Linked DNA regions of Alligator mississippiensis. The protein of the gene in region 1 interacts with the protein of each later gene in a biochemical or structural test. Links are inferred from orthologs where the notes say so. Each region holds a gene or a part of one and is shown in the gene's direction. Other genes may lie near its edges.

Region 1 (7,027 bases):
ACACATTTCCTGGACCATCATAGCTACAACACTCCACCCCAACTACTGACATTGAAATAAACATTCACCCACAACTCTACTGTCAAATACACCATCACCTGCTTACAATGCCCCGCTGCTGTCTGCAAAAGCCCATGGCAGAATATTTTAATCTCCCTGCTGACTTCAATCCATCATCCCTGCTGACTTCAGGATTGTTGCTCTCAGACAAAAAACAAACAAACAAACAAAATAAAAACCAGTATGAACTGGAAATTGCAGAACCAGGAAATCATCCACAAACTGTACTGTGTTAAGTATGGTTTAAACTGGGACTATGTTATCTCATTACCTGGATTAGCTTTTGTAACCCTTTTTCTTCTGTAGGTTTACTGCATCTTTGGTTTTCTCTCCTAGCATTGCCATCTTCTCCCTATCTCTCTAGCTTCCTTTGTCTTTTGTACACTAATTTCTCTCTCCTTCCACTCTGCTTTCTGCACATCCTTTCACAGCATCTGATTAAATGAACTTGGGTTCACAAAAGCTTCTGTTTGCTCATGCCTGCATAGATATAGATCTGATTTAGTTAATATAAAGGTTCATATCTACCTTGACTTCTGATTGAAATGCAAACCATTTCACTCCCTTGAGCGTTGGTAATTGGGAGCTCAGGTGGCACAGGTGCTAAGGTACAAAGTTGACAGTCCCGAGGTTGTAAGTGTGAGGCCATAGCAGAAGCACTCAGTGTGTGGCCCTGTCAGATTCTAAGGAATCTGTGAATTTTGGCAAATACCTGGTTGCACAAGGACATAAAAAAGGAAGAAAAGTACTGGTGATTCACTTGGCCTTCCAGGAGATGATGTTGTGAAGCAAGACCATCTCCTCCAGCATTAAGACAATGTTTTCAGTGAATGCTCTTATCTGGCATTCTGGATATGGAGGAGGACCATGTCAATGATAACCTGCAATAATGGGGAGATTGTTGGGACCATCAGGGTTCAGAGTCCAACCACAGCCCTCTCCTTCTGAGAGGCAGGCTCCAAATTACAGAAAGCCAGTGGCAGTTCAAGTGAAGAGCATCTTTGCCAAGTTGAACTTGGAGTCCCTAGTTGCTGAAAACAGCCTGTGTACTTGTGGGTGACAGATGGACATGGCTCTCCATGCAGGAGCCAGCAGCTGGTATGTCTACCATCTTAGAAGCCTGCGGCAAATGCAAAGGTGCTCCCAAGGTGTAATGCAAAAAAACTTTTTGGGAGTTCACAGCTTACCCTCACTTATCCCACAGCTGCTACCACAGGTTCTGGTGTTAAGCCCCAAGGACACAAGATGAGACTGCAGCTTAATGAGTAGCAAGGACGAGACTGCTGCAGCATTGGGCAATGACTGGGAGTAATAGAGTGATGGAGAAAATCTTAAAAGCATGACCCAGGGCACCTTGCAGACTCAGAAGTCAGGATGAATGACTCCTGCCATCCCTGTTTTCCTCTCTTTTAAAAAAAAAAAAGACTTCATAGGATCATGGGAAGGAACCTTACGAAGTCATCTAGTCCAAGTCCCTGCTCAAGGCAGGACAATCCCTGATTAAACCATCCCAACCAAGTGTCTGTCTAGCCTGCTTTTGAAAATTTCCAAGGATGGCAATTCCACAACCTATGTAGCCTGTTCCAGTGTTTGACCGCTCTCATAGTCTGAAAGTTCCTCCTGATCTTCAACTTAAATTTCTCTTGCTGAAGCTTGAGGCTATTGCTCCCAATCCTGTCCCCTGAAGCCACAGAGGAAAGTCCATTTCCATTCTCTCTAGAATCACCCTTCAGGTATTTGAAGAATGTTACCAACTCCCCTCTCAGTCTTCTTTTCTCCAGACTAAATAGTCCTAGTTCTTTTAGCCTTTCCTCATAAGTCTCGTCTCCCAGACCCATCATTTTTGTTGTTTTCTGCTGGATGTTTTCCAAACTCAGGGGCGACATATAGGAGGTGCATGGGGGTGCATGTGCACCCCCTGAGAGCACCGGTGCACCTCCTGTCAAGCCATGCTCCCTGTGTAGCTGGCAGGTAGGGTGGCAGGCAGGAGCACCAATACCCCCCTGTGAGTGCTGGGGGACCCCCCTGAGCCATCAGGATTGGCCACCGGGGGAGTACTCCCCTCCCCAGCCAGTGGGATCAGCCACCAGGGAACCCCCTGGTTGCTGACTGGTGTCAGGGGGGCACGTGCCCTGCCTGACTCAAGAGGCACCAGGCACCCATGTCCAAACTGTACATATCCTTGAAGCATGAGTTCAAAAACTGGACCCAGTACTCCAGGTGAGGCATCCCCAGTGCTGACTAGAGAAGAAGAATCACTTCCCTTGGTTTGCAAGTGATAGTTCTATTAATACAACCCAGTATAATGTTGACTTTTTTTTGCAGCAAGAGCACACTGTTGGCTCAAAATCAGCTTATGGTCTACCATAACTGCCAAGCCCTTCTCTGCAGTATGGCAAATCATTTCCCCATCTGTATTTGTACATGCAGTTATTCTGTCCCAAGTGCAGAACTTTGCACTTGTCCTTGCTGAATCTCACCTCATTGCTTGTGAACCATTTATTTCTCCAGCCTATCCATCCAGATCGTTCTAGATCCTAGGTGGCAATCCCAACCAACTTGGCATCATCCGCCAATTTGCTACATGCACATTGGATCCCATGCTTCAAATCATGAATGAAGATATTAAAGAACCCTGGGACCCAGGACAGCCCTCACTTGATACCTCCTCCCAACTAGACACTGAGCCACTGAGGACTACCCCGACAAGGATTATCCAACTGGTTCTGTATCCACCTTGCAGTACTTCCCTGCGGCCTGTACTTCCTTAGCTTGTTAATGAGAAAGTTGTGACTGTGAAGCCTGACTCATGGCAGGGTTGAGGCTGCCTCATCCTCTTCAAACATCCAAAAAGTAACGTCCAACCAAAGGCCCTCAGTCACTCTGTAGCAGGTACAGCTCAGACACGGCATCCCTGGGGGGGAATGAAACCCTGGGTGCTTTCAGCAAGGTCTCGAGGTTGGGCTGAGAAAGGAGGCGTCTCCCTGGCAGGGACAGCCAGCTTGGCTGGGCATGGGGGGGGGGGGCAGGGGTGAAGCCAGAATGACTGAGGGGAGCAAGGCAGTGTCATGTGCAGGAGCGGCCTACTGCAGCAGCAATTCCCGCAGCGCTCGGCAGGGCCGGCCTGGAAACTGGAGGGCTGCTCTGGGCCTGAGGGGAAGGGGTGGAACAGACCCCGCCTTAGGTGAATCTAGTCCGCCAAAATTCTAAGCGGCTTCAATTTAAGCAGCTTTAATCAAAGTGGCAGAATTTAGTGGGGTCAGACCAGCAGGACAGGACAGGGCAAGCCTGTGGCTAGGCTTCCTGGAGTGACTCCTGATTCCCATCCTAGGTCAGCCACCGAGGCCGCACGTGGGGCGGGGAGGGGGAGCTCAACACTTCCAACGAGGTGGGGCGGGAGCAGAAGGTCCATCAGAAACGATCATTGGCCCTCTGCCCTGTCAGTCACCGCGGCCCTCCCAGGCCGACAGGCACCGCCCCCTGTAAATCCCACAGCTTCGGTGGGTGATTGGGCGCCAGCCCCGCCAGGCCCTTTCCACGCGGCAGCAGCTCACTGAACGCTCGAAAACTCTTCCCGCGGGGTGGGGGGTCCCTCCTAAATCATTCTCAGGCAGGAGGGGAGAAGACGCAGGATTGGTCCAGCAAGTTGTCATTCTTTACAGCCCCGCCCTCGCCCGCTGATGCCGTTCAGTGATTGGCCTGTTCCCATTCAATCACTGCCTACGCTACAGCCCGCCCGCTCAGGTACGTACAGGAGACCAATGGCCGCCTCCCCTCCCCCTTTCCCACTCCCAGCCGGGCCTTGGAGCCCCGCCTCTCCGCCGCCTTTTTGAGAGGTGATTGGGTGGGTTTGCCGCGGCCGCTAGGCGGGCATTGTGACGCGCCGAGAGGGGGCGGGGCTAGGGCCGCGCCGCGCTGGGGGTTGCGCGCGCCGATCCCCTTGTCTGAGGCGTTTTGTTTTGTGTGCGGCGGCGGCCGGAGCCGGAGCAACGGCGCGCGGCCTTGCAGGGGCCGACGGGCGCGCAGCGGCTGCACAGGCCCGGAGCGCGGCGGCGGTGCAACGATGTCGGGCCCAGCGGCCGCGGCCGAGGCGGGTGGCCCCGGCGGGGAGAAGCGTGCGGAGGCGCTAGACCTGGTGGAGCAGTGCGGCGTGTGCCACGAGCGGCTGCGCGGCGAGCGCGAGCCCCGCCTGCTGCCCTGCCTGCACTCCGTGTGCCGCGCCTGTCTGGGCCCCGAGCCCGAGCCGCCCGCCTCCGCCGGCGCCGCCAACAAAGAGGAGCGAGGTGAGCGGCGGGGGGGCCGGGGCGGCCGCGGGGGCGGGCGGCGCGGCGCGGCCCGAGGGGGGAGGGGGCCCGAGGGTGATGGCGCGGGGCCGGGGGGAGGGGCGCCACGCGGTGCGGTGGGGCGGGCCGGAGTGCGCCCCTCCCTGCGCGGTGTAGGGGGAGGGGGCGGGTCTCCCGGGCTACCCCCAACGGCCCCTCGCCTTCCCGAGCCGGGCGCCTTCCCCGCTGCGCCGCGGGCTCTGGGCTGGCGGGGCCGGCGCCTCCTGCGGCCCAGCTCCATTGGCGGCCGGCCGTGGGGGAGGGGGGATCCCTCCCGATCCCCGGCTGTGCGGGGTCAGCCCCGACGCCCAGCTCCGCCTCCGCTGCCTCCATCCTTCTTCCTGCGGGCCGGGAGTGCAGGGGCAGGGCTGGCAGCTTCAGCGCCTGCTGGGGAGCAGCCCCACAGGCTTGTGGGCCGGAGCCAAGGGGTGGGGCCTGGCCTGGCCTGCTGCAGGCAGCCAGCCAAAGGCCTCCGGGCCGTGGGCCTTCTGTCTGCTGGAAAGGGGACGCTGCTCAGCAGGAGTGCTAGAGACTTCCTGCCTCCCCCTAGAGATACTGGCTGGAGAGTGTTGTCCACTTGCACCCTTCTAGACACCAGCTGGTAATGGTCCAAGTAACCTTCACTTGTGACAAGGCTTCAGCTGCAGTACCAGCATACACGTTTCCTCAGTTGCTTATTTTTTTTAAAAAAGAAGAAAGCCTCCTTGTTGCTGCTTTTATTCCAGCTAAAGTTTCTAGTGTGGGACTCTGATTTTGCAACTAAACTGTGCAAGGCATTCTTGAAGGATGCTGATTTACCTAGAGGTGAGCTAGGGGTGTTCAGGGCACCTGTACTAAAGAAACCAAGTCCTCCAAAGGAGCGTGTGAGGCAGCTTTGTTGAAGACTGTAAAAACATGGAGCAGTGCAATATAAATAATGTGTAACAGGAACATGTGCGGTAAAATTACTTGTGAACTTCATAGAAAGAGAGGATTCGTGCTGCAGTCTGAACAGTCTGTAACAGGTGGCTCAAGCCTGTTAGAGATGATCTTAACCAAGGTTGAGTGACTTGGTTCTGAGGATGTGAGGGTCTCTGTTACACTCACTGATAGGAACCTCGGTATGAACAGTTGTCCAGTGCTGGAGGTATCCCATCTTTGGACACATGGCATTTTATTACCTCATTTTATTAACTCATCTGTAGTATAAAACAGTATTAAAAATGCAGCAAACTAAAATACCTAGTTTAGTCTCCTTGTTGGCTACCTAGCTGACTAGCACCTTCTGGTTAAGAGCTGAAAAATCCCCTCTTCCTAGCATTCTTTTACCTACAACAATTTCCTTTGGTTTTGGGTTGTTTTTTTTTTATTGCCTTTAAGTTATGCCAACTTATTCTGTTAAAATATGTTGCAGCTTCCAGGGATGCTTTTCCTAGTCTTGCTGCTGCAGGCTTGTTACAGATTGAAAACCAGTAGTCTTCATTCATGTCATTTGGCTGGTCAACCCAAATGATAAATACCCAGGTTCAGAAATCCAAAGTTCTCCTGAAAACATGCAGTTCTATACATTATTTTCTAAACCATTCAGTTGCATATTAACACAGTGTATACACAGCTAGATATTCTTTTTTCACTTTATATCATGTGTTATCATTTCAGTTAATTTTCCCCACTCCTTAGGCATTTTTATCAAATTCCAAGTTTCTCAGGAAGTTGCACCATAATTGAGGAGACACTGAAAGGGTATTTAGGATTCATTCTTAATCACTTAAGACTTTTGACCCCTCCCAGGATGTGTTCACTGCCTTATTGTTACATTCTGGTCTGACCATTAAGTGTCCCTGAGGGGCTTTACTCCCATCCAGAGAGAACCAACAAAGTATCCTATGGCCTAGAAAATGGTCTACAAGGAGAAGCCTTCTTAGAGTCAGTGTTTCATTTAAGTGGGTGTGAAGCCTATACTTTATAGCTGTTCCTTAAGGAAATGTGCCTTGGGCCTGGCTTTTGTATAGGCTTTGTACTGAGTGTTTTGGTTAGGGGGTGTGATTCTTAACCTATTACCAAAAACACGGTACCATTTGGTTTTTCCAGAGACAAGACTACATACCTGTAGCCTGTAATAATAATGACCTCTTTGCAAGCTTAGAGGCAGAACTAAGGGACAGTTATAATTGCTTTAATGTTTTTTATTTATTTTTATTTTTTTTACACCAAATCAAGATACACTTGCATTTCCCAACGATTCTCCACTTCCTCTTAACAGGTAAGGTATCAGCTTTAAGGTGGATAAAGAGGTAAACCAGGTCTATAGAAGCCAACCTTTTATTGATTACAGCCCAAGCACAGGAGTAAGCATTTGTCTGCCTAGCTATCTGCAACAGCATAATACAGATTCTTGCCTGTACAGCTGGTATAGGAGGGAGGAAGAAGGTAGCATACAGACTGGCTACCAGGTTGTTTTGAATTTGCTTCGGTTTTCCCAAAATCTTTTGTTTACTGCACCTAATATTTGTACATGGTTTATTTTAATAAATGTTCTTTGATTGGTGGTGTGTCAATTTCTTTGTTTTACCAAGATTTGGCAACTGGACTGAGCCAGTTGTTATCTTTATGGACTTGGAAGATGCCAATTAGTTTGAGTTAGTGTCCTTGTAAAAATTACAGTG
Region 2 (7,886 bases), on another chromosome or scaffold:
CCAGATGCCTATCCAGTCTTCCTTTAAGGACCCCCCCAAGGTAGGGGAGAGCACCACCTCCCTTGGAAGTCCATTCCAAATTGCCACCACCCTGACCATGAAGAAATTCTTCCTGATGTCTAGCCTAAATCTGCTCTCTGTCAGTTTGTGACTGTTGTTCCTTGTTACCCCAAGAGGTGCCCTGGTGAACAGAGCACCTCCGATCCCTTGCTGTGCCCCCCTAATGAATTTGTAGGCAGCCACAAGATCACCTCTCAACCTTCTCTTGCAGAGGCTGAAGAAGTCCAGGTTCCTTAGTCTCTCCTCATAGGGCTTGGCCTGTAAGCCATTAACCATACAAGTGGCCTTCCTCTGGACCCTCTCAAGGTTATCCACATCCTTCTTAAAGTACTGTGCCAAAAACTAGATGCAGTACTCCCGCTGTGGTCTGACCAATGCTTGCATAGAGGGGAAGTATCACCTCCTTAGTTCTATTTGTCATGCATCTGCTGGTGCATGATAAGGTGTGGTTAGCTTTGCTGATTATTTCGTCATACTGACGACTCATGTTCATGAGTCCATTATGACTCCAAGATCCCTTTCTGCCTCCATGCTGCTGAGAGGATCATTCCCCAGCCAGTAGGTGTGCTGGATATTTTTACACCCTAGGTGCAGCACTCTGCATTTGTCCTTGTCATACTGCATCCTATTGTGTTCTGCCCTCTTATCCAACCTGTCCAGGTCTTCCTGCAGTCGTTCCCTACCCTCCCAAGTGTGCACTTCCCCCCCACAATTTAGTATCATCCGCAAACTTGGACAGAGTACAATTCACGCCCACATCCAAGTCACTGATGAAGACAGTGAAGAGTACCGGTCCAAGGACCGAATCCTGTGGGGCCCCACAACCCACATCTTTCCAGGTCGATACCAATCCCTCTACTACCACTTTGTGGGTGTGACCCCCAAACAATTTGCCACCCAGTGGACCATGTAAACATCTAAGTCACAGCCTCTCAATTTATTTATGAGGATGGGATGAGATACCGTATTGAAGGCCTTCCGAAAATCCAGGAAAAGGATATCCACCTCTACTCCTGTGTTCAAGTGTTTTGTGACCTGGTCATAAAATGAAACCAGATTAGTCAAGCATAATCTACCTGCTACAAATCCATGCTGGTTGCCCTGCTGCATTATTTTTCCCACTGGACTCCTGCAAATATGATCCTTAATAATCTTTTCAAAAGACTTTTCCAAGGATGGAGGTGAAACTGACTGGCCTATAATTACTCGGATCCTCCTTCCTCCCCTTTGTGAAGATAGGGACCACACTGGCCCTTTTCCAGTCCTCCGGGACCTGACCCGAGCAACACGAGCGCTCAAACATCCATGCCAGTGGTTCTGCTATGACACTGGCGAATTCCTTCAGTACTCTCAGATGCAGCTCATCCAGGCCTGCCGACTTTAACACATCCAGTCCATCCAAGTGACTCTGCACCAAGTCAGTGTTGACAGTTGGTAGGCGGGTGTCCCTTTGATGCCCACCTAAGTACCCATTAGGAGACTTATCTTGACCCTTGTTCAGGAACACTGAGGCAAAAAACTCATTGAAGACCTCAGCCTTGTTCCCCCTGTCTGTCACTAATTGCTCTTTCTTGTTCAGTAGGGGTCCTATGTTGCCCTGCGCCTGCCTTTTACTCCCTACATACCTAAAAAAGACATTTTGTTGTCTTTAATTTGTGTTGCCAGACTTTCTGACTGCCTCCCTGCAAGTGCGGGCCAAGTAGGTATACTCCTCCATGGTAGCTTCCCCCCGCTTCCACCACCTATATGCCTCCTTTGGGTTCCTGGATTTCTCTGTTTAGCCAAGGAAGTTTTTTGTCCCCTTTCCCCCCTTTTCCTCGCACTGGGATTGCCTCTCTCTGTGCCCGAAGGATTGCTTCCTTTAGGAATGACCACCCTTCCTGGACTCCCATCTTGCCAATACTCCTATCCTGCAGTGCATGGGCAACTGGTGCTGTCTTAGTTGTGGTGGGGGCACATGCTCCCCCTTCAACCAGTCCCGCCAACCAGGGAAGGGGGTCCTCTGTGGCCTATCTTGCCAACCGGGGGGGGGGGGGGGGCAATCCTCCCACTTCTGGGAGTGGCTGCAATCGCTTCTGGAAGTGGCTACAGCGATTGGCTGCCACTTGCAAGGGGGGGGGGGGCATCGAAACTCCTGCCTGCCCCTCCTGCTCATTGCCTAAGTGGCAAATGCGGCTGGTTAAGGGGTGCACCAGTGCTCTCAGGGGGTGCACGTGCACCTCTGCGCACCCTCTATGCCCTCTATCCCCACTGCTACAGTGCGTCATTGACTAAACTCCTAAGCACACTTCCACCCTACTAGTTATCTTACCCACTCTACGCCGTATGGTGAATTTGATTGATTGGGGACAGTGACCAACAAGGTTACCACAAATCTTCAGCTCCCCTACCAGGTCATCCCCCATAGCCAACACCAAGTCCAGTAAGATGTGTTTTGAAGTACTGTTGATATGTTATGCCTTCATGTCTGGATTTCTACTGTAGAACCGGAGCATTATTTAGCAAGTTCTAATAATAACAAATTGGAATTATGTGCCTGATAAATACTTTTGTTAGTGATATGGTACCACTTTATGATTGGCTCTAAATCTGTTGGTGGTGCTACTTTTTTCCCTTATATTTAGACCAGAGCTGTCTAGCTTCTAATAAGTGACCGGGGCGGCGCATGCCTTATCAGTAAGCCACGCATCCCCCACTGTATCTGATGCACACTTCTGTTACTGCAGGCTGTATTGTGCTGCACTGCCCCCTGAAATAGGGGCAAGACACAAGCTGGAAGAATGAGGGGAGTGGTACCTGGGTGGGAACCCAGGGGCCACAGATGATCCCCCTTTCTCTGGGCTCGCACCCAGGCACCACTCCCCTCATTCTTCTAGCTATGACATTTTCCCCTCATCCCAGTAAAGCTTGCATTGCCAGGAGTGTGCACATAGTACAGTGGGGGACCCAGGACCAATTGTGGGCCGCATGTGATCTGTGGGCTGCCAGTTCGATAGCCCTGATTTAGGCAACAGAATTTGGGCAGCTGAAGTTAAAAGTTCAGAAGAATCAGTTACTAAACAGGTGTTTTTCCAGTGCTCTTTGGCCAGGTTGCATCAGGACCCCTTTTTTTTTTCCATGCAAGATAAAAGGGACTTACACGTTTGCTTTTTAGATTGCATAATTTGGGGTTTGACTTTACCAAGAGCCATAAAAATCTATACTAGATCTCAAATTTTACAGAAGTTGTTCGGTGTAACATGTCACAATTCAGAAAAGCTGGTGCAGAAAAAGTACCTGTACTTGTTCTCCCCATTATAGCCATCACATTTAAACAGTACGGGCCAAACATATAAGGATATAGTAGGACTATTTTTTTTTTCAGACAGACCTGGCTGGTCTTTCTGCATATTGCAGAATTACACCTGAATTCAGAGGCTTGAAGCAAAAAAAAAAGGAGGAAGCTGGAAGCAGTTGGTGAGGTTTGCTCCAGGATACAACACAGCCTGGATGCTTTTGAGCAGTTAGACATGTTATTTATTTTAATGCAGTTGGGGACAAATATTAGCTGAAACGGAAAGCAACCTGGAGAGCCAAGTAGTCCCACCAAAGAGATGCCCCCAGCTATGCCGCAGAGTGCATTTGAACTGCCTTTCCTAGTCCTCGGTTACTGACAGTCACGCTTAACTAGCCCTTTTCTAGAGAGGGAGGAGGTAGCAACGAGCTCCTGTGAACAGGACCAGAACAGAAACGTTCAGCTCTCGGCTGCTTCCCAACAGGCCTTCATGTCCACGTGCGTGCCTATGAGGTTCTCCAAAAAAAGCACGTGTGGATTTGCTTCTAATGTTTAGCAGGGAAACCCTTCTCCATAGTCTAGCTCCTTCTAGGGGGTTGACCTTGAGCAGGGGATGAGGGACAGAGAAAACAAGGCAGCAGCCTCTGGGAGCCAAGTAACTGGGGGGCTGCCAGGGAGAACTGGGGCTGCTCTGGGAGGCAGGCGGAGGGACTGGGATAACTGGGAGGCAGGCAGGGAGAACTGGGGCTGCTCTGGGAGGCAGGCGGAGGAACTGGGGTAACTGGGAGGCAGGCAGGGAGAACTGGGGCTGCTCTGGGAGGCAGGCGGAGGGACTGGGGTAACTGGGAGGCAGGCAGGGAGAACTGGGGCTGCTCTGGGAGGCAGGCGGAGGGACTGGGATAACTGGGAGGCAGGCAGGGAGAACTGGGGCTGCTCTGGGAGGCAGGCGGAGGGACTGGGATAACTGGGAGGCAGGCAGGGAGAACTGGGGCTGCTCTGGGAGGCAGGCGGAGGAACTGGGGTAACTGGGAGGCAGGCAGGGAGAACTGGGGCTGCTCTGGGAGGCAGGCGGAGGGACTGGGGTAACTGGGAGGCAGGCAGGGAGAACTGGGGCTGCTCTGGGAGGCAGGCGGAGGGACTGGGATAACTGGGAGGCAGGCAGGGAGAACTGGGGCTGCTCTGGGAGGCAGGCGGAGGGACTGGGATAACTGGGAGGCAGGCAGGGAGAACTGGGGCTGCTCTGGGAGGCAGGTGGAGGGACTGGGATAACTGGGAGGCAGGCAGGGAGAACTGAGGCTGCTCTGGGAGGCAAGTGGAGGGACTGGGATAACTGGGAGGCAGGCAGGGAGAACTGAAGCTGCTCTGGGACGCAGGCTGAGGGACTGAGGTAACCACGAAGCAGGCGGGACGGGGCGAGGCGGGGCCCTGGCCTGTCCAGCCCTGCCCCGCCGCGCGATAGGCCGGGCCGGGCACCTCCCCCGAGGCCGCGGCTAGTTCCGGGGCCGGCGGCAGCTCGGCCTGGCTGTGTGGCCGCTACCTGTCCCCGTCCTTGTCGTCGTCCCCGACGCTGCCACCATGACGGACCGTGCGCCCTTCGACACGAACGTGCTGACCCTGACCCGCTTCGTGATGGAGGAGGGGCGGCGCGCGCGGGGCACCGGGGAGTTCACGCAGCTGCTCAACTCGCTGTGCACCGCCGTCAAGGCCATCTCCACCGCCGTGCGCAAGGCCGGCATCGCCAACCTGTGAGTGCGGGCCCGGGCTGGAGCCGAGCAGCCGCGGGAACCGCCTGCTCCGTCCGCACAGAGGGAGCGGGGCGGAGAGGGAGGGGGTGTCCGTGTGAGGAGGCCTGCTGGGGCCACGCATCTTTATAGAGGCATCTGTCTCCCCCTGTGGCGAGACACAGAGATCTGGCCGTCTGGACAGCTGAGGAGGTGAACTTCAGCTCAGGGAAGCTTGTGCCAGGACTGGCCATCAGAGTCACAGACAATGAGGGGTGGGAGGGACCTCGGGAGTCCTCTAGTACAGCGTTTCTCAACCCAGGGGTCAGGACCTAAAAGTGGGTCGCAAGAGTATATTATGAAAGGGTCATGTATAAGCTTCAAAAATGGATTCTCCTTTAAAGGGAGAAAAGGCTGCCTGGAGCCCCCCAGGCCCCACACACACCTACCCCCTTCCCCTCACACTGGGGGGCTGGGGCAGGAGGTCAGGACTGGCCATCAAGGTTCACAAATGGGTCCTGGTACCAAAAAAAGGTTGCAAATCATTAGTCTAGTCCAACCACTGCTCAAAGCAGAACCATCCTCAACTAGATCATCCCAGCTACCTGTAGATAAAGAGATGGAGTCTACGTTAGAGAGCTGATGAAGACAGCTTTAGCTCAGCAAAGCTTGGGCTATCTCTCTGTATAGAGATATAGATACATTTATATATGTATAGAGAGAGATATACCCATCTCCCTGTGTTTCTGTATGTAGATTATAGATCTCTACAGGTAGATGGATAGATACCTTTACCTACCTACTTTAGTTAGTGTAGAAGGAGCAGACTGACCCCACCTTTTAAATATGGCCAAGAGTGCCGTACAAGGGAAAGCTGCTCTTCTGGTGATCAAGCTAGCATTGGCCTGTAAATATTGGCATTACTGGACCGTACCTAGGAAATGTATGCTCTCCTGCCCTACCCTAATACTTCCCTGTCTAGGCCCACCAGCAGGAGCAACCTCAACATGAGATCACAGAGTACAAAATAATAGAAACTTATAAAACAGCTGAACAGAAAACAGTCCCCCTCATATTAAAAGCCCTGTCAACACCACCTGTGATGATACTACTACTTTATTTAAAAAAAAAAAACCTAACTCAACTTTTGACTCTGATCTATAATGGCATAAATAATTAACATGTATATCTTAGACTAGCTTGGTAGGTGAAGCAAATGCTGGGAAGTCTTCAGACTCCATTTTGGCATTTTCTAGTTTTGTTCCTCTTCTCTCTAGTCCTTGCTGAAGGTAGCTACTATTTCCCTCTTTTCTCTAGCTAGTCTTTGCTGAAGGTCGCTAGTGTTGAGTTTTGACTCTTCCTTTTTAAAGGGCCCAGTGGGTTTATTGGTATACAAGATGTGAAATAACCCAAATCCTTGCAGTTGGCAGAGTCTTCATTAAATTGAATTTGATTCAGTGAATACCCAACCTTTGAACTGGAAAACCAGGTAGATGGGCTAGAAGACCAAGATTGATAATATCTGGCTTAATGATCAATTGCTGTCTGTAATTTAATATGTTGGCACCATTTAATATTAAATTCAATGAAACACTTTTTTCCTGATTGCACTGTAAAAGAATAGAGTTTTGCATCTTAGAAGAATAAGGCTTTCAGATTCAACCCTAGAAGAGAACAGGGGTGTTGCCACAAGTCAGCCAATCAGAGCTAATACTACGCATGCTTCATGCTGACAGCAAAACAGGAAATGAGTGGGGGGGGGGGGTTCTTGCAGGGGTAAATAAAAGGTGAAGCAGCTTTTCTGCAACATCATTCTTACAATATTTTACATGTTATTGGTAGGTCAGGTGCTATGCTGATCAGCACTTTCAAAATGCCTGTAGTAATGAGCCGTGTCAATACTTAATGAGAAATATAATAAAAATGAAAATAATTTCACACATACAGCAAGTAGCAGAAGACTCATGGACTCAAAAAGCTTCTATCAGTATAGAGTAGTGTTTGTTTGTTAGGACATGTATTAGTAGCACTAGAAAACCGTGGTTGCTATATCTTCTGAAACAACTGCTGTAAAATGTACTTCAATGCAAGCATAAAGTATATTCATTTCAAGAAGAAACGAAGCTTTCCTGTCTTAAATTCCTAGCAAGGGTCTCAACTTTGAAAGAACTAGCTGTTGATCTGAATGGAGGGAAATATTCCACCTACACCTACAGAAGAGGGAGGCCATTGTCAAAACTTAATCTAGTACTTAATGTCTTGTTCCAAATGCATAGCTAGCAACTTCCGTCTGTTCAGTGCTTTGGCTTTCCTTAAAACCCTGGCACAAACTATTTGCTATTTCATGTTAAGTTTAAATGACTAACAGATCGTAGATTGTCTGATGAGGAACAATCTTTTTCATTGCTATAGCTATGGAATTGCTGGTTCCACCAATGTGACAGGAGACCAAGTAAAGAAGCTGGATATCCTTTCCAATGACCTGGTGATTAATGTGCTCAAGTCATCCTTCAGCACATGTGTTATTGTATCAGAAGAAAACAAAAGTGCTGTAATAGTAGAACCTGACAAAAGGGTTAGTAATTTGCAAACCTTTTCAGAACTTGATTTCAAGTTACATTTTCCTTTAAATGTGTACAAATAAAACCTGACCTAAAGATTTCGGAGAAACTTGGCCAAAGGTCTGAATTTTTCTGGATGTGGGAAAATATGAGTGAACTCTCTCAAAATCAACCTCTTTCACTTTCTGTTGACTTAATTCTCTCAGCTGAGTCTTTATTCCCTCTTGCTTGGTTTCTTGATATTTTCTTTCTTCCTACAGTTCTCTTCCA
Region 3 (8,058 bases), on another chromosome or scaffold:
ACTCGTAATGAATTTAACTCTTTGCAGGCCTGATGGCCTAAAGGAAGGTACACAGACATGCCAAATGTAGCTAAGGTCATCATTTGGCCCTAAATCAGTGGACAGCATTGGCTATGGATGAATCAGTACAATTCCCAAAGGCTAGAATTGGTTCCCCCTCTTCTCCAAAAATAAACAAGTGCCTCTGAGTTTAGGGGTGAAGAAGATCTGCATTAAAAAAGGATCTGGAAGACAGGAAAAGAAATTAAAAAGGTGTGTGGGGAAGAGGGGAGGAAGCTGAGTGGGCTAGGAAATAGGGAGGGCTCATGGGTGTTGCCATGGACTTCGATCCTTCCAGGACAAAAGGCAGTTGTCTCTTGGGGTGAGGAAGAGGAAGAGGAGTAAGAAAGAGGAGCGAGTGACTTGGGGAGGGGTTAAAGGTGGTTAAAGGTGGACACCGTGACATAAAGGGCATGGAAAAGGTTCAGGGGCCCAAGAGAGGAACAAAGAATATGAGCAAGGGACTAGGGGATCATTGATAGGGGATTGCAGGAGCTGTGAAAGAAGCTTGGGGAAGGGCAACTGGTGGCAGTCAGCTCCTGTCTGCAGGAGAGAAACCCTGTACAGATAGAGTACAGGAACAGGGATCCCTCCGCTACCCCCCCGGAGACTTTCTATACCAGGGTGATTCAAGATGCTGAACAAAAGAGGGACCTGGAAAGTCGAAACTACTAGATGATTATGAATATAGCTGCTCTCTGCAAAAGTTTTTAATTAACATCCTCCCAACTGTGTGCCTGGATGCATAGATACAGTATCTTCCCCATTTGCCAGTTGCGTGCATTCCTCTATGGCTCACTATCACATCATCCAACCTGCACTGCCTGTTGAATCTTAGCTTTGCCCCCTTGTTCTGTTCTGGTATTGAGCTATTATATCAGTTATTTTGTTTTGAAGGCAATTCCCATGGCCAGAGAATTAGCCTGAAATCTTACTTCAGTTCCATACTGTGCTGAGTTTGCGAGTGACCTGGGTTAAGGCACCCAAAGACAGGCTTTGTAACTTCTCTGGACCAGAACCTTAGTGATATTTTTAGCAATGCTTTAAAAAATGTGGGACTTTGAGCCTCCATTCCCCATATATAGAACTGGGAAATGAATATTTCTCTTTGTCAGAGAGATTTTGTGAGGATGACCATATAAAAGAGAGGGAGATAGTATCCAGGCACTAGTGTTGGGGCCCTCATTGGTGTCTACGATAAGTGTAACAAATGATGAGAAAGGAAGATTCGCTGGAGTTTAAGGAGTATTAGAATTCATTCAGAAGACAGAAGAATACTTTAATGAATGATTCAACTGTTTATTTCTTGAAGCGTGTTGATACTTGGTGGTTAGAGGTCTGTGTCAGTGTTTGTAAAGTGTACACGTTTGTACTATTTTTTAACTATATGATTCAGCAACTACCATGAGCAGGGCTTCGTTCTGGAGTGACTAGGTTGTTAGTATAAATAGAATACATGGGAATAAGAGATGAAATTTTAAAAACTTCTTGGTACTAAGAACATGCAACATAAAGAAGTTGGTAAGAGACAGTGTTTTTTTTTTAATTTCCTGGTTTCAGTCACATGATATCTAAAAGAAGGAAACAAATCAACACCACCCAGTTTATGCAAAAACCTTTTGCAAGTTATGCTGTGGTATTCTGCAGCACAGATCTGGGGGAAGAATGTGGGTCTTTGGGCCAAACTCAATTCTCAGTTACATTACATTGAATTGAGTGGAGTTACTATAGACTTAAATCTGCAGAAGAAAGAGCAGAGCAAGATGTGATCATCCTTTTATGCCTTCCTATTCTGTATTATTTGCATTACAATGTCTACCCATAAGAAGCGCTCAGACTGAAAATACACAGCAATATACAGTAAATCACAATATACATCTCACATGCCAATTAATGATACTGTGGCTCAGAATATAATAAGATTTTAAAGTGAAGTAAATTTTATAGACTAGTAGTCGTGAATGACGTGTGCCCCCAGAGGCTGGGGGGGCACGGCGAGTTCCTGCAAGTGGCGGTGGGAGCATGGCGGAGGCAAGCGGGGACCTGCTGCAGGCAGCTGCAGCGCTGCTGGTGGTGGAGGGGTGAGCGACAACCAGTGGTCAGCGACCACCCCCAGACACTGCTGACAGCATAGGCGGTGGCTAGTGGTGATCAGGGACTGCCCACAGACACTGCCGGTGGTGTCAGCGGCGAGGGGTGTGTGGTTTCACATGGGGTGCACCATCATGCTCAAGGGGTGCATATGTACTGGGGTGCATATGCACCTGCGTGCACCCCCTACACATCGCCAATGCTAGTGGTTTTTAACTTTTTTTCATTTGTGCACTCCTAAAGAACTTCAGATGGAGGTGCAGACCCCTTTGGAAATTTTTAATGGAGGTGAAGATCCCTTTGAATTGTAAGTCTGGTATTCACATACTTTTGATTGATCATAGTCATCTTTCGCAGACCCTTAGACATAGTCTGTGGACTCCCAGAGGTCTGCAGACCACAGGTTGAAACCACTGTTCTAGACCATCTTTACACAACAATATTGCTGACAAGGTAACACATCTTCTCCACTGCTAGTTACTTTTAAAATAGTCTGGAGTGATACAATTTTCCAAATAAATGACAGCTCATTGTCTTGCACAGAGTGAAGGAACTGCCTCTTGTTGAGAATTGGACACATCCTTTCACTTCTACCATCTTGTCTGCCAGTCTCTTCTGACATTATTAGCTTATCTACTCGGGAGGTCTTGTCCTTTAGACGGAAAATCTTTTGCAATAGGGACTGCTATTCCCTATGCATTTGTAATTGCCAGCCCCAAAGGGTCCTGACCTGAGTGGCCAGAAGTATAAAGGTTAAATAAAAATATGAATAAACAAAGATTTTTTATTTTTATTTTATTTAGAGTCTATGCTTCTAAAAAAACCAACCAAAAAGTCTAAGAAATAAAGTATGCTTTTTCATCATGAAAACAGCTTGTCTGTGAAGGAAGGACAGGGTTTGGGTTAATCTAAGTTTGTGAACTTCAAATCCTACTTGGATACTGTTAGAATGCCAACATGAAATGATGAACAGTGTTTAAAAATGCATGCAGCTTTCTGGATCCCAGGCACACACACTCCCCTCTCCTCTCAGGGGTCCAGTCAATACATCTGGCTCCGCTGAAATGGAGGGAAGTCCTTCTATTGACTTCTTTGGCACACATGTAAGCAGCCCAACAGGTACAGAAGAGGACAGAATGTGGGCCCAATGCAGTTACTTTATTTTCTTTAGGATAGTCCTTTCAAGTCAGTCCTTCCCTGACACACAGCTGAGGCCTGAGAGAGGATGGTGGTTGTGGGTGTGGGGAACAGAAATGTCCCCAGATCTTGCAAAAATGTCATTATTGTTTCCATGCCCCTCTCCTTTGCAGTGGCTGCTGTGAAAAAAATAGATGCATAAAGTAGGATTTATTTGAAATGGCTGCTATGAGCTGCTGAGCATGTTACCTGGTAGACGATGGTGCTGGAAAATCAAAGATACCCACATTGTGCAACATTTTGTAGCCCCCACAGGAGAGAAAGACTGAAACCACACTCAGCCCCGATTGCTTACAAGTCAGAATATAACTAGGCTATGAGATCCAGTTTAGATCATTCAGATTTTTAACCTGGTTACAGGGAAGTGGTCAGAGGATGGCTGTACTACTACTTTTGAACTCAGACATGCTGTAAGCAGGGACCTTGACTCGGTTCTGGTCTCCACAGGACCGAGCTGCTACTTTTAGACCCAAATGTCATTCCCCAGCATTTAACACTCCTGAATTTTGAGCTGCTAACTAATGCAAGATCACACTTGAATGCATGTGAGAAAAGGACAGCACCTTGATTAAGGTAACTGCACAAATCGATTCATAACTCTCCCTCCATACTACAGAAGTGTAAAACTAGTCATTCCCCACTAGTCATCTCCCACAGTTTCCCCTACACTTTTATTTTTCTCAGATACATTTTATAGGCTTTGCTTCCACTGGCCAAAACAGATTCTTTATAGCACCTGAAACCTCACAGGACTGATGCTGAGCACGTACATGGCTACAAGGGGCACCTTAAAGACTGGTTGCACGCGAGGGCTGTGGGTGACTCAGTAGGTGGCAGTCTGCACAGGTCTGACACCCTCCAAATGTTAAAGAGGACTGGGTTGCCGAGTCTTTCCAATGAGACATAACAGAGCCACAATCACGGGGTGCTGCTGTTAAAGTCCCAGTGCCTTCTCCTACAGTGAGAACATTAACCTCGGGTGCGCAGCCCAGCTCCTAGCTACCTCAATATAATGCCTTGTAGAGTCAAGCGGAAGTCACATTGTTATTTTCTTCTGGTCTTAAACTTCTCAGGGCTGCCAAACAAATGGGCTGGCTCTTCAGCCAGCGGACAGCTGAGATGCAGCCCTCCCCACTGCCTGCTGGAATCATGATTAAAAAAGAGCATATAGGAGTGCAGGCGCTGACCCCGAGACCACACGGCCTAGGCCAAGGGGTGGCAAGCTTTTTTGAGCGGGATGCCAAAAACACCCACAACCTCGACTCCTAAGATGTCGGTGTGGTGCGGGGTGGCAGGGTTGCTGCAAGGGGCACCAAGCAAAGTGCCTTGGCGTGCCATGCTCTGGCATGCATACTGACAGCTGGTTTGGAGGGCTCAGGGGGGCCCAGGCTGTTGCGGCTCGTGGCCCTGCCGGCCTGGCATTCAGCTCCTCTGCCCCGGGGCATCCTCCGCCAGCCTCTGCCCCGTGCAGGGCTGCGCCCAGGGGAGCCACCTGCCGGCGCGGGGCGGGCGGGGCGGCCGTACTTCCCCTGCCTCCGCCGCCGCCGCCGCTGCCGCTGCAGTGACAACAGCCTGATTTCCCCGAAATGATGGTGGCGCCGCAGCCTATGGGCGGCGCGCGAGGCCGGGCGGCGGCGCGGATTGGCCGGCGCGGGCGCTGCCGGCGGGGAATCCCGTGCGGGGGGAAGACTAGACCCGCGCCCAGCCCGCGGCCGGCACTGAGCGCTGCGCTGCGCTGCGAGCCGGCACCCACCGACCCACAGACCGACGGGCTCACACAGGTGGGTCGCGGCTCCCGCGCGGGGCTCGGGCTCGGGCTGCAGCACTCCGCCGGGCGGGCGGGCGGGCGGGCGGGAGCTGCAGCGGGGCGGGCGGCGCAGACCTGCCTGCCGGGGACCCGCGGGCGCTGCTCCGCTCGGGCTTGGGCTCGGGCTGCGGCGCGCCGCTTACCCGGGCGCGAGAGGGGCCGAGCCCGTGCCGCTGCCGGCCAGCCCTGCCCGGCGGCGCCGAGCGTCCTGCACCCCCCGCACCCGGCTCTGCCTCGTCCGATTAGAGAAGTAGAGGAGTCCAGATACTTGAACACACACGCACACACACTATATTTCTAGTATAATTATATCAACATAGTCTATATACTTTTAACACACACTTCTAGTATAATTAAAAGTATATAGACTATTATATGTATATAATTCTACTAGAAGAGTGTGTGCGTTTAAAAGTATATAGACTAGTATATGTATATCATTATTGTACTATTATATTATATTTATTATACTATTATATGTATATAATTCTACTAGAAGTGTGTGCGTTTAAAAGTAGATAGACTAGTATATGTATATCATTATTGTACTATTATATTATATTTATTATACTATTATATGTATATAATTCTACTAGAAGAGTGTGTGTGTGTGTGTGTGTGTGTGTGTGTGTGTTTAAAAGTATATAGACTATTATATTTATATAACACACACTTTCCAGTAGACTTATATAAATATAATAGTCAATATACTTTAACACTCTCTATTTCTAGTATAATTATATTAATATAGTCTATATACTTTTTACACACACACACTATTCCGGTATAATTATATATGTATAATAGCCTATATACTTTTCTCACACACATGCACACACTGTATTTCTAGTACAATACACGTATCCTCAAGGCACACACAACAAGAAAACACCTGGTACGATGTAGGAGGGCGCTGTGGAGGATGGAGGAGCTGTGAACAGAGGCTGTTTTCTGAAGGGAAAAACAAGCAGGGATGTGCTTGAAACGCTGCCAGCCTTGCAGCCCTTCACGTTACTGCCTCTCCTGGCCCCAAAGCAAAACATTGCTCTCCACGTGGAGAACCGGCTGGCAGGAGTGGGCTCAGCAGAAGAAAAAGGGAGTGTAAAAGAGCTGAAGGTTCACTTGGAGAAGAGCCTCTTATTTAGTCTCCCAGGTTAGGAAGGAAGCCAGAAACTGGACTGTGCAACTCTGCCGCCTCTGCCAGCCTGCTCAGGGGAAAAAAAAATGACTGTTTGGATACCTCTGAAAGCTGGAGTTCCCGTTTTGAAATTATTAGTTAGAATAACTATATCCATGGCAAGAGCTAGTGCTAGAACGAGAAGCTCGCAGCAAAGTGTACAAGTTTCTAGCAAACATGTTGCACTTCCTTGAAGGGAAGCTCGTTAGCACTAAACAAGAACTGGACACGCCCCAGGACATTTTTTTTTTGGTAGACTACGAATCAGTTGAGAGAGCAATGTCCTGCCTTGGTCCTCTCCCTGACCCAGTTAAATACATTTTAACAGTTATTTAAATACTATATTGCGCATGCAGTGCTCCTGAAAGCCTGACAGCCCTAAAACCTGCTCTTTTGTTGTTGTGATTCATGGCAAGTCTGACACAGGAAGTGGCAGTTTAGACTTCCCTCCACTGCCCTACCAGCATGCCTTGCCCACAACCTGCAGTAATTACCTTGAGAACGAAGAGGGAGGAGTTCAGAGCCCACAAACCTTTGATTCTTTTGCATTTTCCACTGGGATTGCCAGGAAGAATATACTGGATGTGCCCTTGGTTTGACACCCGAGTATCTGTTCACCGGGTAAAGGTTCAAGACCAAAAATGCATTTCATGTCAGCCGCCAAACAGCATCAGAAGATAAAAGTTCCCTCTTGCAACAGAACTGGGCAAGTGTCCCAAAAAAGGGAAGCGGCTTGCTATCCCAGTGCTGGTGTCTCAGGTCATCCAGTTTCCTGACAGCACAGCTTTATTTAAGTAAGTTACTAGAGTGATGATTTAAGTGGATTCAGACAACAGTGCCATTCAGATACAGGCAGACGGTGCTGGAAGAGATCCAAGTTGGCCAACTTGGTTTTTGCTGGCCCTTAAGGACAGTAGTAAGCATGGCAGGGTTGCATTGCTAAAAAGCCTAGAAGGCAGAACATTTACCTTTTTGCTGATGTTATTTTCCTTTCACAGACAAAATGCCAGTGACAAGAATGCGCATGAGGCCTTGGTTGGAAATGCAGATCAATTCCAATCAAATACCAGGACTGACCTGGATCAATAAGGTGAGGACTCTGTCATTACTTCTGTAGCTATCAGTCATACTCAACAGGCCCTCTGCTCTTATCTGATAGTAAATGCAAATCCAGGTCATATACCTAGATCGGAAGGAAATAGAGAGACTCTACCCACACTATACAAGACAACATTTTTGTTTTCAGAAAAGAAGTAGCTGTCAGTCACTTGATCATTGACCTGACATTGTCCAAGGAATCCCTGGTTTGGGGGTGGAGAAAGAGGCAAGACCAGTTTGGGAGCCAGGGACACTTCAGATGAGCCTGTAACTATGACTTGTGCTTAGGCCAAGTCCTCTTGTACTTGCTTAAGTCATCTGGGTTAGATCCTAACCATTTAATGGGACCATAAAACCCAATCTTAGGTGGTGTTGAGCTTGTTTTCAATTAAAGTCAACACTGAGTGAGAACCAACTGCAAAACCCTTGCACATGTACAGCGGCTTGCTATCCCAGTGCTGGTGTCAGGTCATCCAGTTTCCTGACTGTAGTTTTATTTGAGTAAACTACTAGAGTGATGATTTAAGTGCATTCAGACAACAGTGCCATTCAGATACAAGCAGAAGGTGTTGGAAGAGATCCAAGTTGGCCAAGTGTTTAGGCTCTTCCTTACCAATTCAGGACATATCTAATTCTCTGAGTGTTTTCA

Evidence for each region.
Region 2: the proteins of TRIM28 (region 1) and fructose-1,6-bisphosphatase 1 form a complex in vitro, tested with the Homo sapiens proteins (2 studies listed by BioGRID). The link is inferred for Alligator mississippiensis from reciprocal best matches to the Homo sapiens genes TRIM28 and FBP1.
Region 3: the proteins of TRIM28 (region 1) and IRF1 form a complex in vitro, tested with the Homo sapiens proteins (2 studies listed by BioGRID). The link is inferred for Alligator mississippiensis from reciprocal best matches to the Homo sapiens genes TRIM28 and IRF1.

The regions. Positions count from the first base shown.
Region 1 is NC_081828.1:75,675,010-75,682,036, reverse strand, and holds the start of TRIM28 (transcription intermediary factor 1-beta), read left to right. Parts: upstream 1-3,982; 5' UTR 3,983-4,123; coding exon 4,124-4,343; intron 4,344-7,027. UniProt on the Homo sapiens protein: Nuclear corepressor for KRAB domain-containing zinc finger proteins (KRAB-ZFPs).
Region 2 is NC_081826.1:205,422,832-205,430,717, reverse strand, and holds the start of fructose-1,6-bisphosphatase 1, read left to right. Parts: upstream 1-4,851; 5' UTR 4,852-4,909; coding exon 4,910-5,079; intron 5,080-7,467; coding exon 7,468-7,630; intron 7,631-7,886. UniProt on the Homo sapiens protein: Catalyzes the hydrolysis of fructose 1,6-bisphosphate to fructose 6-phosphate in the presence of divalent cations, acting as a rate-limiting enzyme in gluconeogenesis. Plays a role in regulating glucose sensing and insulin secretion of pancreatic beta-cells.
Region 3 is NC_081832.1:67,482,004-67,490,061, forward strand, and holds the start of IRF1 (interferon regulatory factor 1), read left to right. Parts: upstream 1-5,002; 5' UTR 5,003-5,108; intron 5,109-7,309; 5' UTR 7,310-7,314; coding exon 7,315-7,401; intron 7,402-8,058. UniProt on the Homo sapiens protein: Transcriptional regulator which displays a remarkable functional diversity in the regulation of cellular responses.